Linked DNA regions of Saccharomyces cerevisiae S288C. The protein of the gene in region 3 interacts with the protein of the main gene of each other region in a pairwise test. Each region holds a gene or a part of one and is shown on either strand. Other genes may lie near its edges. The genes, in order: PIN3, LSB3 and GYP5.

Region 1 (2,819 bases), 760 kb from region 3:
TGACTAGCCCAGTGTGGCTTTCCTGTAAAGGGGATTTTACGTCACCCGCCTCTTCGCTGATCTCATCTTTTCTCTCAACTTCGTCTTGATTTCTTTTAAATAGATGAATCTCTTCGTTGCAAGATTCGAGGATTTTATCAATGTCCTCCTCCCGCATAGTGTAACCTCTGGCAACGCCAATCAGAAGAACCAGTTTTTCCTTATCTAACGACTCGATTAATGAGCGACACCTGCTGTCGTCCTCTTGACTGATGTCATTTTTGAACTCCTTAGAGTCATCATTAAAGTAAAGTTTTGTACCATCGTTGTATATTATTAAGTGCCAACCATTAACCAGTTCTAATGAAAATGTTGGCTTCCTCTCTGTCTGTGATTCTTTCGCATTGCTTTCTAGGTTAGAGCCTTTCTTCAAATTAGGTTTTTCCCATCGAGACTGCTTCGTGTTCTTATTATAGTAATACTTTTTGCCTGCAGGTGTCTTAAATTCCTGCCATTCTCCACGCATGGCGATTCTGTGTTACTGAACTGTCTTTCTCTTTATAATACATATCAGAATCTCTTTCGGACACTATTTCCTCTTTCTTCAATTATATTGTTTTCTCTTTCATTGCCGAAGAAAAAAAGAAACATACTGAAAGTTGATAAATATGCAATAATAAAACCTTTTCCTACTCTTGACGCTTCTGTATAAGATAAAAACTGCCAACAAGATCAGTTCCAACTTCCTGCCGTATTATGAGGTATGTTATTCATTACCAAGACTATATCCGCCACGGCTGGATGCAGGCATCGCTCCCTGTGGCTTAAGAAAATAATAGGCACAAAACTAACAATAAAAACATCCACTACTCTGTCGCATGTTCCCTGTGCTCAGATCATTCGTAACAAATAACGATATACCTGTTGGATATGTAACGCCAAAATTCCCCTCATTATACTGGCCCATCAACAACTCGAAGTATAATACTGCATTCTTATACTATATATCTGACATTTGGAAATTTTCGCTGTACTGGACTTTGATCTTTAATGGTGCATTTTACGTTACTGCTGGTGTGTATGCTAGCTTGACCCATAGAAAGAAGGCTGGAAGTGTATGGATATTCGTCATGTACGTCTTATACGGAGGCGTTCAAGGCTTGACGACTGGTACAGTTATGGGGTTTTTAATAGGTGCGATCTATAGATCTGGTTTATTTTCTATGTCTACATGGGTCCCACTTTGTTGCGCAGTAGTCCAAATCCTTTTCGATGTGGTGCTAAGTTATTCCATGGTTGGTTCCGTTATGTGAAAGCTTCTGTCAAGAAAAAACAAGAAGGGGTTTACTGATTTGATGATAAAAGTTAGCAGCAACTTTTGAATGAGAATGTGCCATCCTTCACGTAAAGAGCCTAATACTCTTTCTTCAAAGCGCTAGATTGTTCTAAACGTTTCTTTAACTATTGTTTTCGTTCGTGCAGCGTGATTAACCGAGCCTCCTTCGAGGCGGGGATGGATATTGTAAGCTGCATATATAGTCGAACCTCAAATCGGTTGAGACAATAGGCAAAGTGCCCACATTGGCGCAAACACAAGAACATTAGGAAAGAAGGCAATCTGATATTTCAAAAATGTCTGCTTCATTGATTAATCGTTCCTTAACAAACATTAGGACAGAACTGGATTTTCTAAAAGGGTCAAATGTCATTTCAAATGACGTTTACGATCAAATAAATAAGAGCTTGCCGGCAAAATGGGATCCTGCCAATGCACCCCGCAACGCCAGTCCAGCTTCCTTGGAATATGTCGAAGCTCTTTATCAATTTGATCCTCAACAAGATGGTGATTTGGGCTTAAAACCAGGTGACAAGGTCCAACTTTTAGAAAAATTATCTCCAGAGTGGTACAAGGGTAGCTGTAATGGCCGTACCGGTATTTTCCCAGCAAACTATGTCAAGCCAGCTTTCTCTGGGTCTAACGGTCCATCCAATCTTCCACCACCTCCACAGTATAAAGCTCAAGAATTACAACAAATCCCCACGCAAAATAGTGCCGCATCATCTTATCAACAGCAGCCATTTCCTCCACCTTCCACAAATTATTATCAGCAGCCTCAACAACAGCCGCAACAAGCTCCTCCTCCCCAACAACAACAACAACAACAACAACATCAGAGCTCACATAGCCACTTGAAGAGCTTTGGTAGCAAATTGGGTAATGCCGCCATTTTTGGGGCAGGCGCTAGTATTGGGTCAGATATTGTTAATAATATCTTTTAAGTCGTTTTTCTCTTTATATACTTCATTCATTTGTTCTCCATTATGGCCAAACCTTTCATAAATTGAACGAAGTTCTACCTTTGGTGTTGTTATCCCTAGAATTTTTTTCTAATGAGTATGAATTTAAGTAACCTTTTTTTTTCTTTTTTTTTAAACAGATATATCGTATATGGAGGATAATAGTACATCACTTATGATATGAGCGAGAAAATCTGTCTTTTTAGTAAAAAAGTATAAAAAGTAAAAAGGCGTCGATTTTGCGTTGATTTCTTTATATTTACGTCTGTACAAAAAATACATTAAGAATATATTCAATATCTTCCCTTTCTTCTTCCCCAGCAGGCTATACGCTAATGGATTAAAAACCTGCCATATACGTGGTATATCCTGTTGACGACATTTATATGAGCTCCGGAGTCAAGATTGGTATCCACCAGTTCCTCAACGTCCCTAAACCATTCTTTCTTTCTTGAACGCGGGATCAAAAAACTTCCCAATTTGTATAAGTTAGAAACCTCAATCACTAGTAGACCCTGGTTTAAGTGTTCCTCATCGGCGTC
Region 2 (3,884 bases), on a different chromosome or scaffold from region 3:
ACAAGATCACTAATAAAGAATAAAAATTTCAATAAGAAAGTTTTGGAAACATTCGAAAAGCAAGTAAGAAGAGGTATAGATTTCATGAGATTTCCAAGTGCCACTAGAGACGAAAATGTGCACGGAATAGCTGAGTATATATTCGACACTTATTGGAATCGCGATGTGTTAATATTGGACAAATTTTTATCGTTGCTAAATAGTAGTCCATATCATGAAGGTGTATTGCAAAAACAAATTGAAGAGGCTGCAAGCTCGTTAGGATTTAAAAGATGAATGTCTCTTTGTTAATTTAGCTAGAGTTTTCCTTATTTATTTTTTTTATTTACACTAATTCAATCTTTTTCGTTATATTTAGATATTATTAAAAATTATTATTATGGAAAAAATTCTTAAAAGGATAGACAGAGGGACGCCGTCTGCTATATGATATGTATTTAGGTCCGAGTGCTGATAAACTGTAAGGCAAAAGGTATAAGTGTAAATCAATAACGTTTCTCGTATTCTTTACTCTCCTTCAAATTTTTTAAACTAGTTCAACGTAATTTGCTGGGAATATACCTTCTCTACCGTTGACTCTTCCGGTCCACCAGTCATTTTGAGAATCTGATTTTTTCAAAATTGTGATCACGTCACCCTTTCTGAATGGTAAATCTCCGGACTCTTCTCCTGCAAAGCTATATAATGCCACGGCCTTTGGAGAAGACGTGGATGGGGATGTTGGAGCAGTGAATCTGCCCTGACTAGTTTGCGGTGTTGAAGCGGACGAGATTCTAGATTTAGAAAATCTGTTCGACAAGTCATCGACTTCACGGTCTTTTGTCCTATCTCTTCCATTCCCGCGTCTATACCCGGATTCATAATCATCATCATAATCATCGTATTCATCATCAGCCCAACGATTTCTTGAAGAACGAGCCCTTGACTGAGCAGTTCCTGATCTTCTGTGGCTGGCATAATAACTTGAAGCTCCAGATGGGTCATCCAATTTACCACCACTACCGCCACTGTTGGTAGGAGCCAGTCTTGAATTCCTTGAATAGCCAGTACCATAATCATCATCGTCATCATCATCGTCGAACGTATAACGAGAACCGCTTTGGGCTCTTCTCCTTGTGGATCTTGTGTTAGGTCTAGTGGAGGAAGCATCTGTAGAACTGAATGAACTAGGAATGTCATTATAGTAATCGTCGTCGTCATAGTAATCGTCTTCGTCGTCATCGAAACTGCCACGACCACCGTTGGAGGGTCTGTAATTAAACGCCCTGGACTCTAAAACACGAAACAATGGATCAACTGCTGGAGGCGGTCTTATCCTACCAGACAAAATCATTTTCGCGGTACAATTGTCACCATAAAATTTTCTGTTAGCCTCTCTTCTTTCTATAATAGCCGAACCTTCCACAGAAACCCCTGCAAATAGACCTTTACTCTTAGAATAGGCAAAAACTGCAGCCACACCACCGGCGGAGGCTGATGCAGCTGCTTCTGCACTTCTACCAAGAGGCCCAGCAGAAACGGAGACGTTACCACCCAACGTGATGGTCCCAAATTCAGAAAACGACTTAACAGCATCCTGAGTATTTAAAATGAAAACAAAATCAGTCAATTCTATACCAACCATCCCACCGGCACCAGCACCTGCCATGGCAATGGCAGATGGAGCTGACCAAGTACCATCCTTTAATCTTGCGACAATCACACCAGAACCAGCTCTACCTGAAAATAGAAAACCTGCTTTTAAGATCGTTATGATAGCCAACCCTTTAGCTCTTTTCAAAACGTCTGGAGGAATGACTTGGTCCGCACCAAAAACTTGGTTTGGTTTGACAAAACTAGCCAAAATCTTCGCTGCTTTTCTTTATTAATTGTTTATTACTAGTTAGTAAATGATGAACAAATTAAGGGAGAACTTTTTTAAAGGTTTCCCAGCCAAACCCGTATAAAACATACTTTGTCTCACTCTTTAAACTCCTTGGAATAGGATTGTTAATACCCATTGCGTGTGATACAGCTTTTGTTTTTGATTTCTTTGCCACCCGTGATCCAAAGCCGTTCTAGATTTCTTCGATAGTTTATACTCTTTCATGTTGAACTTCCAGATGCGGCCGAGTCGGCGAGCAAACAGGGTGCTGCTACTAAACGAACAATAAAGAAAGACAATTTGGGCACCCAATATAAAATGAGCAGTCAATTCAATCAATTCAGTGTGAAATTTTTTTCTTGGAAAGATCATTCACTTCTACACAGCTGTACATGAGTTTATATGACAGTTTTTTTTTATGTACATCCAGTTCAAGATAATCAGATTATATATTGGCCCAAAAGGGATCATTAACGAATTGCGAAATGGGTAATCTCTTTACAGTTAACAGATTCTCTGGTGATTGGCTTTCCTCAAGGTAGCAAATATACTCTAATTGTAGCACGTCTACTATGTATTTCTTTACCTTGTCATAGCACACACCCACTTGCGCCACGCCGTGTGCGTCATCACTTAGAACAAATCTGGATCCACAGTGCTTCTTGACCAGATTACATAAGGTTTTGCTGGGGTACGGCTCCTCGAGGCGCTTTCTTAATGCGGACGTATTGATTTCAATTGCGCCGCCATAGGAGTCTATAAATTGTAAATTTCTTACAACTGCATCGTATATTTCTGGCCATTCACTGATGACGTCCAGTGAAGCTACAGGAACTCCGGTTTCTTCGTTGCAGTTGCCCGATTTCTGGTTTACTAGCATGTCATTGGGCAAAAATAATTTGTAAAGGTCGAAGTGACCCACGACCAACGGTTTAATATTGATCAGCATTTCGTACTGTGATTGGAAGTAAGACAGGAGAAAATGTTTCAAATTATCATTGAAGGAATGCAATGAATTGTACCATTGTTGTTGGTCGAAATCAATAGGGATCCCGTTGACGTGATGGACCGAACCCACACAAAACTTCAAAATATCATTATTCTCCTTCATGAGTCGCTTTGCATATTCGATATGAGCCATGTCACAACTTTCGATCTCCATTCCTATAATGAATTTAGTCCGCACATCGGGTCTATCAGCATAACGAGTCTTGATTTCTTGCGCATGACTCATGAAATTCTTGAACGATGTTTCTAGCTTGGTTATGACTTCCTCAGGATTCTTGCCCAATGACTGCTCTTCGGGGTATATAAACTTGGCCTCAATTCTTGGTATGTGCTCTGTCAAACAGTACGTGTGAAAGTTGAGGTTGACCACTTGATCGACCACGGAATCCAAAGGGTCCGTACCGTGGGCACTATAGTCACCGGAGTGTGAATGGTGTGAGTGCATGACCTCGAGGATTTTTACTGAATTGTACGTATCAAGAAGTACTAAAATGTGTTTGAAAGGGAAAGATTGTACGGGAAATGGAAAATGTACATATAATATCCAGTATCATTTGAGTTGATAGAGATTATCTCTATAGATAGAGAGATTTGACAAAAAAAATAAAAAAATTTAAATGGACGAGTCCGGAATCGAACCGGAGACCTCTCCCATGCTAAGGGAGCGCGCTACCGACTACGCCACACGCCCGAACGTTTGTTGAAATCTTCCAAACAGAAATGATACAGGTTTACTTTACAGCAAGACATTAGTAGTTTCATTAGCTTATCAACATGTATGAAACCGGCAAGATTGAAAGCTTGATTGCCCTTGACGAGCTACTCAAATGTGTAAATATCTGCACAATCAGTTTACACTCATGTTTCCGCGCTTTTACCCTCCATCTAGATTAAAATCTTATATGGATTATTTGGGATAAATAGCATTTAGTAAATCAAATTGATAAAAAAAAGAATAGCATTTAGGTATGCAGAATATACTAGAAGCTGTCCTCACTGATCCTGAATCCAA
Region 3 (5,138 bases):
TTCTCAGAATACAATCTCCTTCCCTTCTTCTGTCGACGATGTGCAGCGTACCACAACAGGTCCCACCATATATCATGGCATCATTGAAACAGCAAGGCTCTTACAAGTTTTCACAAAAATCTATGAACTAGACAAAACAGTAACTGCAGAAAAAAGTCCTATATGTGCAAAAAAATGCTTGATGATTTGTAATGAGATTGAGGAGGTTTCGAGACAGGCACCAAAGTTTTTACAAATGGATATTTCCACCACCGCTCTAACCAATTTGTTGAAGGAACACCCTTGGCTATCCTTTACAAGATTCGAACTGAAGTGGAAACAGTTGTCTCTTATCATTTATGTATTAAGAGATTTTTTCACTAATTTTACCCAGAAAAAGTCACAACTAGAACAGGATCAAAATGATCATCAAAGTTATGAAGTTAAACGATGCTCCATCATGTTAAGCGATGCAGCACAAAGAACTGTTATGTCTGTAAGTAGCTATATGGACAATCATAATGTCACCCCATATTTTGCCTGGAATTGTTCTTATTACTTGTTCAATGCAGTCCTAGTACCCATAAAGACTCTACTCTCAAACTCAAAATCGAATGCTGAGAATAACGAGACCGCACAATTATTACAACAAATTAACACTGTTCTGATGCTATTAAAAAAACTGGCCACTTTTAAAATCCAGACTTGTGAAAAATACATTCAAGTACTGGAAGAGGTATGTGCGCCGTTTCTGTTATCACAGTGTGCAATCCCATTACCGCATATCAGTTATAACAATAGTAATGGTAGCGCCATTAAAAATATTGTCGGTTCTGCAACTATCGCCCAATACCCTACTCTTCCGGAGGAAAATGTCAACAATATCAGTGTTAAATATGTTTCTCCTGGCTCAGTAGGGCCTTCACCTGTGCCATTGAAATCAGGAGCAAGTTTCAGTGATCTAGTCAAGCTGTTATCTAACCGTCCACCCTCTCGTAACTCTCCAGTGACAATACCAAGAAGCACACCTTCGCATCGCTCAGTCACGCCTTTTCTAGGGCAACAGCAACAGCTGCAATCATTAGTGCCACTGACCCCGTCTGCTTTGTTTGGTGGCGCCAATTTTAATCAAAGTGGGAATATTGCTGATAGCTCATTGTCCTTCACTTTCACTAACAGTAGCAACGGTCCGAACCTCATAACAACTCAAACAAATTCTCAAGCGCTTTCACAACCAATTGCCTCCTCTAACGTTCATGATAACTTCATGAATAATGAAATCACGGCTAGTAAAATTGATGATGGTAATAATTCAAAACCACTGTCACCTGGTTGGACGGACCAAACTGCGTATAACGCGTTTGGAATCACTACAGGGATGTTTAATACCACTACAATGGATGATGTATATAACTATCTATTCGATGATGAAGATACCCCACCAAACCCAAAAAAAGAGTAAAATGAATCGTAGATACTGAAAAACCCCGCAAGTTCACTTCAACTGTGCATCGTGCACCATCTCAATTTCTTTCATTTATACATCGTTTTGCCTTCTTTTATGTAACTATACTCCTCTAAGTTTCAATCTTGGCCATGTAACCTCTGATCTATAGAATTTTTTAAATGACTAGAATTAATGCCCATCTTTTTTTTGGACCTAAATTCTTCATGAAAATATATTACGAGGGCTTATTCAGAAGCTTCGCTCATATAACGAAAAAAAAGGGTTTGGATCGAACGTAATTGAGATTGATTAGTTAATACTCAAAATAAAACAGCTCCTACCACCAGTGTAAAGTAGAACGTTAATAGAGCAATGTCTTCAGACAAATCTATTGAGAAAAATACAGATACGATCGCCTCTGAAGTTCACGAAGGTGATAATCATTCGAATAATTTGGGTTCAATGGAGGAAGAGATAAAATCAACGCCATCAGACCAATATGAAGAGATAGCTATAATTCCAACTGAGCCCCTCCATTCGGACAAAGAACTAAATGACAAGCAACAAAGTTTAGGCCATGAAGCACCCACAAATGTATCAAGAGAAGAACCTATTGGGATCTCTGGTGATGAAGACACCCAAATCACTGAACAAAACGTTAATGAACAAAGGCAAGAAACGAGAGAACCTAGTTCTGAAATTGATTTAAATGAGCCATTGGATGTTGAAAAAGATGTGACAACGGATGTGCAAGCCCCAAATGGGCTGAATATTGAAAAAGAATATGATGCAGTCAAAGAGAATGAGAAGGTTTACGCTGATACGAAAGAGGTTGTTAGTAGTCCAGAAAATAGGGAAGTAACTGGAAAAAATTCTGGAGGTGAGAAATCATCCTCGAGTAAATTTCTCGATGACGAATCTGGTACTACGACAGCTGCAAATGCGAACGACATTTCTATAAGTAGTGAAGTAACCCCAGAAAGGTCGTCAGAAAATGATAATAACCAGATTCATATTACCAATGAGGTAGCCGCAGGAATAAACTTGAATGAAAACAAGGAACAAAAAGCTGCTATAGAAGATGGGCCCGTAACAGCAGAGAATCTTTCCTCAGAAACTGCTAGGAAAGTACCACCTATACCCACACAAATCATAAATGAAAAAGGTGATAACTCAAGCGAGAACGAGGTTTCCGCAATTCCCACTACATCTTCGCCACCATTACCACCTAGACAAAATGTTGCGACATCAACGTCACCAAAATTACCTCCAAGGGGCAAACAAAGGGAACAACCACCGAAGACGAAGAATGCTGTTCCACCGCCACTAGAGGAAGAAATGAAGTCAGAGAAGTTCCGTAAAAACTTCGAAGAAACTAAAAGAAATAGTTATCATCATGTTCCTCTCACTGGTTCCAAAACTGCGCAATTAGAGTCCACTGCAGAAATTAATTTGATCGCTAGTCGTTACCGCAAGACCAGTCACCATTTGAATAAAGAGGGGGAAGAAACTAGAGAGTCGTTGCAGGAAGGTCAAAGCTTTTTAAAATCGACATTTACGTCATTTCTGGAGAACTTGTCCGAGTATAACGAAGTGGAGAATGTTAATGAAGAAGATAGAGAAATGTTTAAAATTGATTGGTCCTTCTGGACTCAAGTAGTTAATGATTATGCTACAGTGGCAAGCAACGAACCAGAAAATTTAGAAGCCCATGTTACCAATGGGATACCACCACAAATTCGAGGTATCATTTGGCAGCTGATGGCGAATTCCAAATCAAGAGAAATGGAAGATATATATGAAACTCTATTGGATACCGAATGTCTTCATGAAGCAACAATACGTAGAGATTTAAGGAGAACGAAGTTTGTGGCCGAGGACAAAATGGAGTCACTATACAAGGTAATAAAGGTGTATTCTGTTTATGATCCAGATGTTGGGTACACGCAAGGCATGGGGTTCATTGCAGCGCCGCTATTAATAAACTGTGAAAACGAGGCCGAATCTTTTGGACTACTCGTTGGATTAATGAAGAATTATGGATTAAGAGAGCTTTTCTTACCAGGAATGCCTGGGCTGATGTTAATGCTTTATCAATTTGATAGATTATTAGAGGAGCATTCACCTTCTTTGTACAATCGCTTGATCCGTGAGGGAATTAGCTCCACAATGTACGCTACACAATGGTTTTTGACATTTTTCGCATACAAGTTTCCGTTAGAGTTTGTGTTAAGAATTTTTGATATTGTATTCGTAGAGGGTATTGAAGTGCTTTTGAAGTTTGCTGTAAATTTAATGTTAAAGAATGAAGAAACTTTAGTAAAATTGAGATTCGATGAACTATTGGATTTTTTAAAGGACGAACTCTTCAATTACTATTTAATGGGAAACCAGGATGACGCTTCTGTAGTGCAAATGGGATTGTCAAATGGGAACTCATTTAAGGGCAATGATGACGGCACTTTTTCCTACAATGTCGATCTTTTCGTTCATGATGCAATGACAGGTGTATATATCACACCATTAACATTAAGAAGATACAGGGGAGAGTACGTAGAAATCCATGAAAAAGAGCAAAAAAAAGAGGACCACTACGAATCACTAAGAATTCAAAACCACCAACTACAAAGAGAGGCGCAGAAGCTAGAACACGACTATTCAATTTTGAACAAAGAGAATATCAGCGCCGCTAACGAGCTGATTCAGAACAGATTGAATATGGAGATGCTGTTGGATGAAAAAAACGACCTGATAAATACAATCACTGATATCAAAAGCCAAATTGAGGAAGAGATTCGCAAGCAAAATTTACCGAACCCGGACGCGTCACTACCAAAGGCAGATCTGAGAGAAGACTTGGAAAGGACCATATCCAGGAACAATGAGGTGATGAGGGAGAACGGCCAATTAGAGGAAAGAATCACTGAACTGCAAGCGGAAATCGATGAGTTGATTAACATCAATAAGGAGCAAGTGTCCACGGCATCGTTATTGGAACGAGATTCTAAGGCTAAAGGGAGGAAAGGCTGGACTGGTTTTAAAAAAGTTTTTAAATAGATGTATAGTTTTGCGCTGTGTGCACATTGTGTGCCTCTCCAATTTGTGTTAAAAAATGCATCACGACTCGTTTAGACAATGTTGTTGTTGTTGTTTTTTTTTTGACTGTATTTTCACCCGTACATCCACGGATGTGTTGGGTTTTTGTTTCCGCTTTACCGTGCGGGAGACGACCATGACCGAGAGGTCTGGTTGCGAAAGACGCACATACCGCGTGCGCGGAACTTTTTCATTGGGTTGCCAACCAAGGCTGTTCAGGGAAGCCCGACGAGGGAAGCTAGCATGAATGCACTAGGAGAGAGAGAGAGAGAGAGGCAGAGGAAGAGGCACATCATTGCATTTCTTGAATATTCGTTTTAATTAGCGTTAAGTCTTAAGTTCGTGTATTACCATAGTCAAAACAGAATAGAGAAGCAAGGATAATACAAAATGGCTGTCAAGACTGGTATGTTTACCTGAACTAATGAACTGTAGAGCAAAAGCAAAATGAACTGAACCACTAAGCCAACAACAGAAATACAAACAGGATGAGATTAAGCTCCAGAGATATGCAAACATCGTTTATATCCTGCACCCAGCGTTGCAGTACTCCGTGGAGTCTTTGTTTATTTATTTTGCTCGTATACTACGTGAGTACTAGTGTGCTTGTTACTAA

The links.
Region 1: the proteins of GYP5 (region 3) and PIN3 interact in a two-hybrid assay, tested with the Saccharomyces cerevisiae proteins (2 studies listed by BioGRID).
Region 2: the proteins of GYP5 (region 3) and LSB3 interact in binary tests that used the Saccharomyces cerevisiae proteins (3 or more experiments, as listed by UniProt).

What each region holds. Positions count from the first base shown.
Region 1 is NC_001148.4:832,954-835,772, forward strand, and holds PIN3 (Pin3p), read left to right. Parts: upstream 1-1,611; coding exon 1,612-2,259; downstream 2,260-2,819. Other genes in the region: URN1 (Urn1p), read right to left, coding at 1-505; MAY24 (May24p), read left to right, coding at 736-740, 875-1,292; NCA2 (Nca2p), read right to left, coding at 2,610-2,819.
Region 2 is NC_001138.5:201,434-205,317, forward strand, and holds LSB3 (Lsb3p), read right to left. Parts: upstream 2,001-3,884; coding exon 1,954-2,000; intron 1,860-1,953; coding exon 527-1,859; downstream 1-526. Other genes in the region: PES4 (Pes4p), read left to right, coding at 1-276; HIS2 (histidinol-phosphatase), read right to left, coding at 2,310-3,317.
Region 3 is NC_001148.4:76,014-81,151, reverse strand, and holds GYP5 (GTPase-activating protein GYP5), read left to right. Parts: upstream 1-1,798; coding exon 1,799-4,483; downstream 4,484-5,138. Other genes in the region: galactose-responsive transcription factor GAL4, read left to right, coding at 1-1,441; 60S ribosomal protein eL36 RPL36B, read left to right, coding at 4,913-4,928. UniProt on the Saccharomyces cerevisiae protein: GTPase-activating protein which accelerates the GTP hydrolysis rate of YPT1 and SEC4. Involved in ER to Golgi trafficking and polarized exocytosis.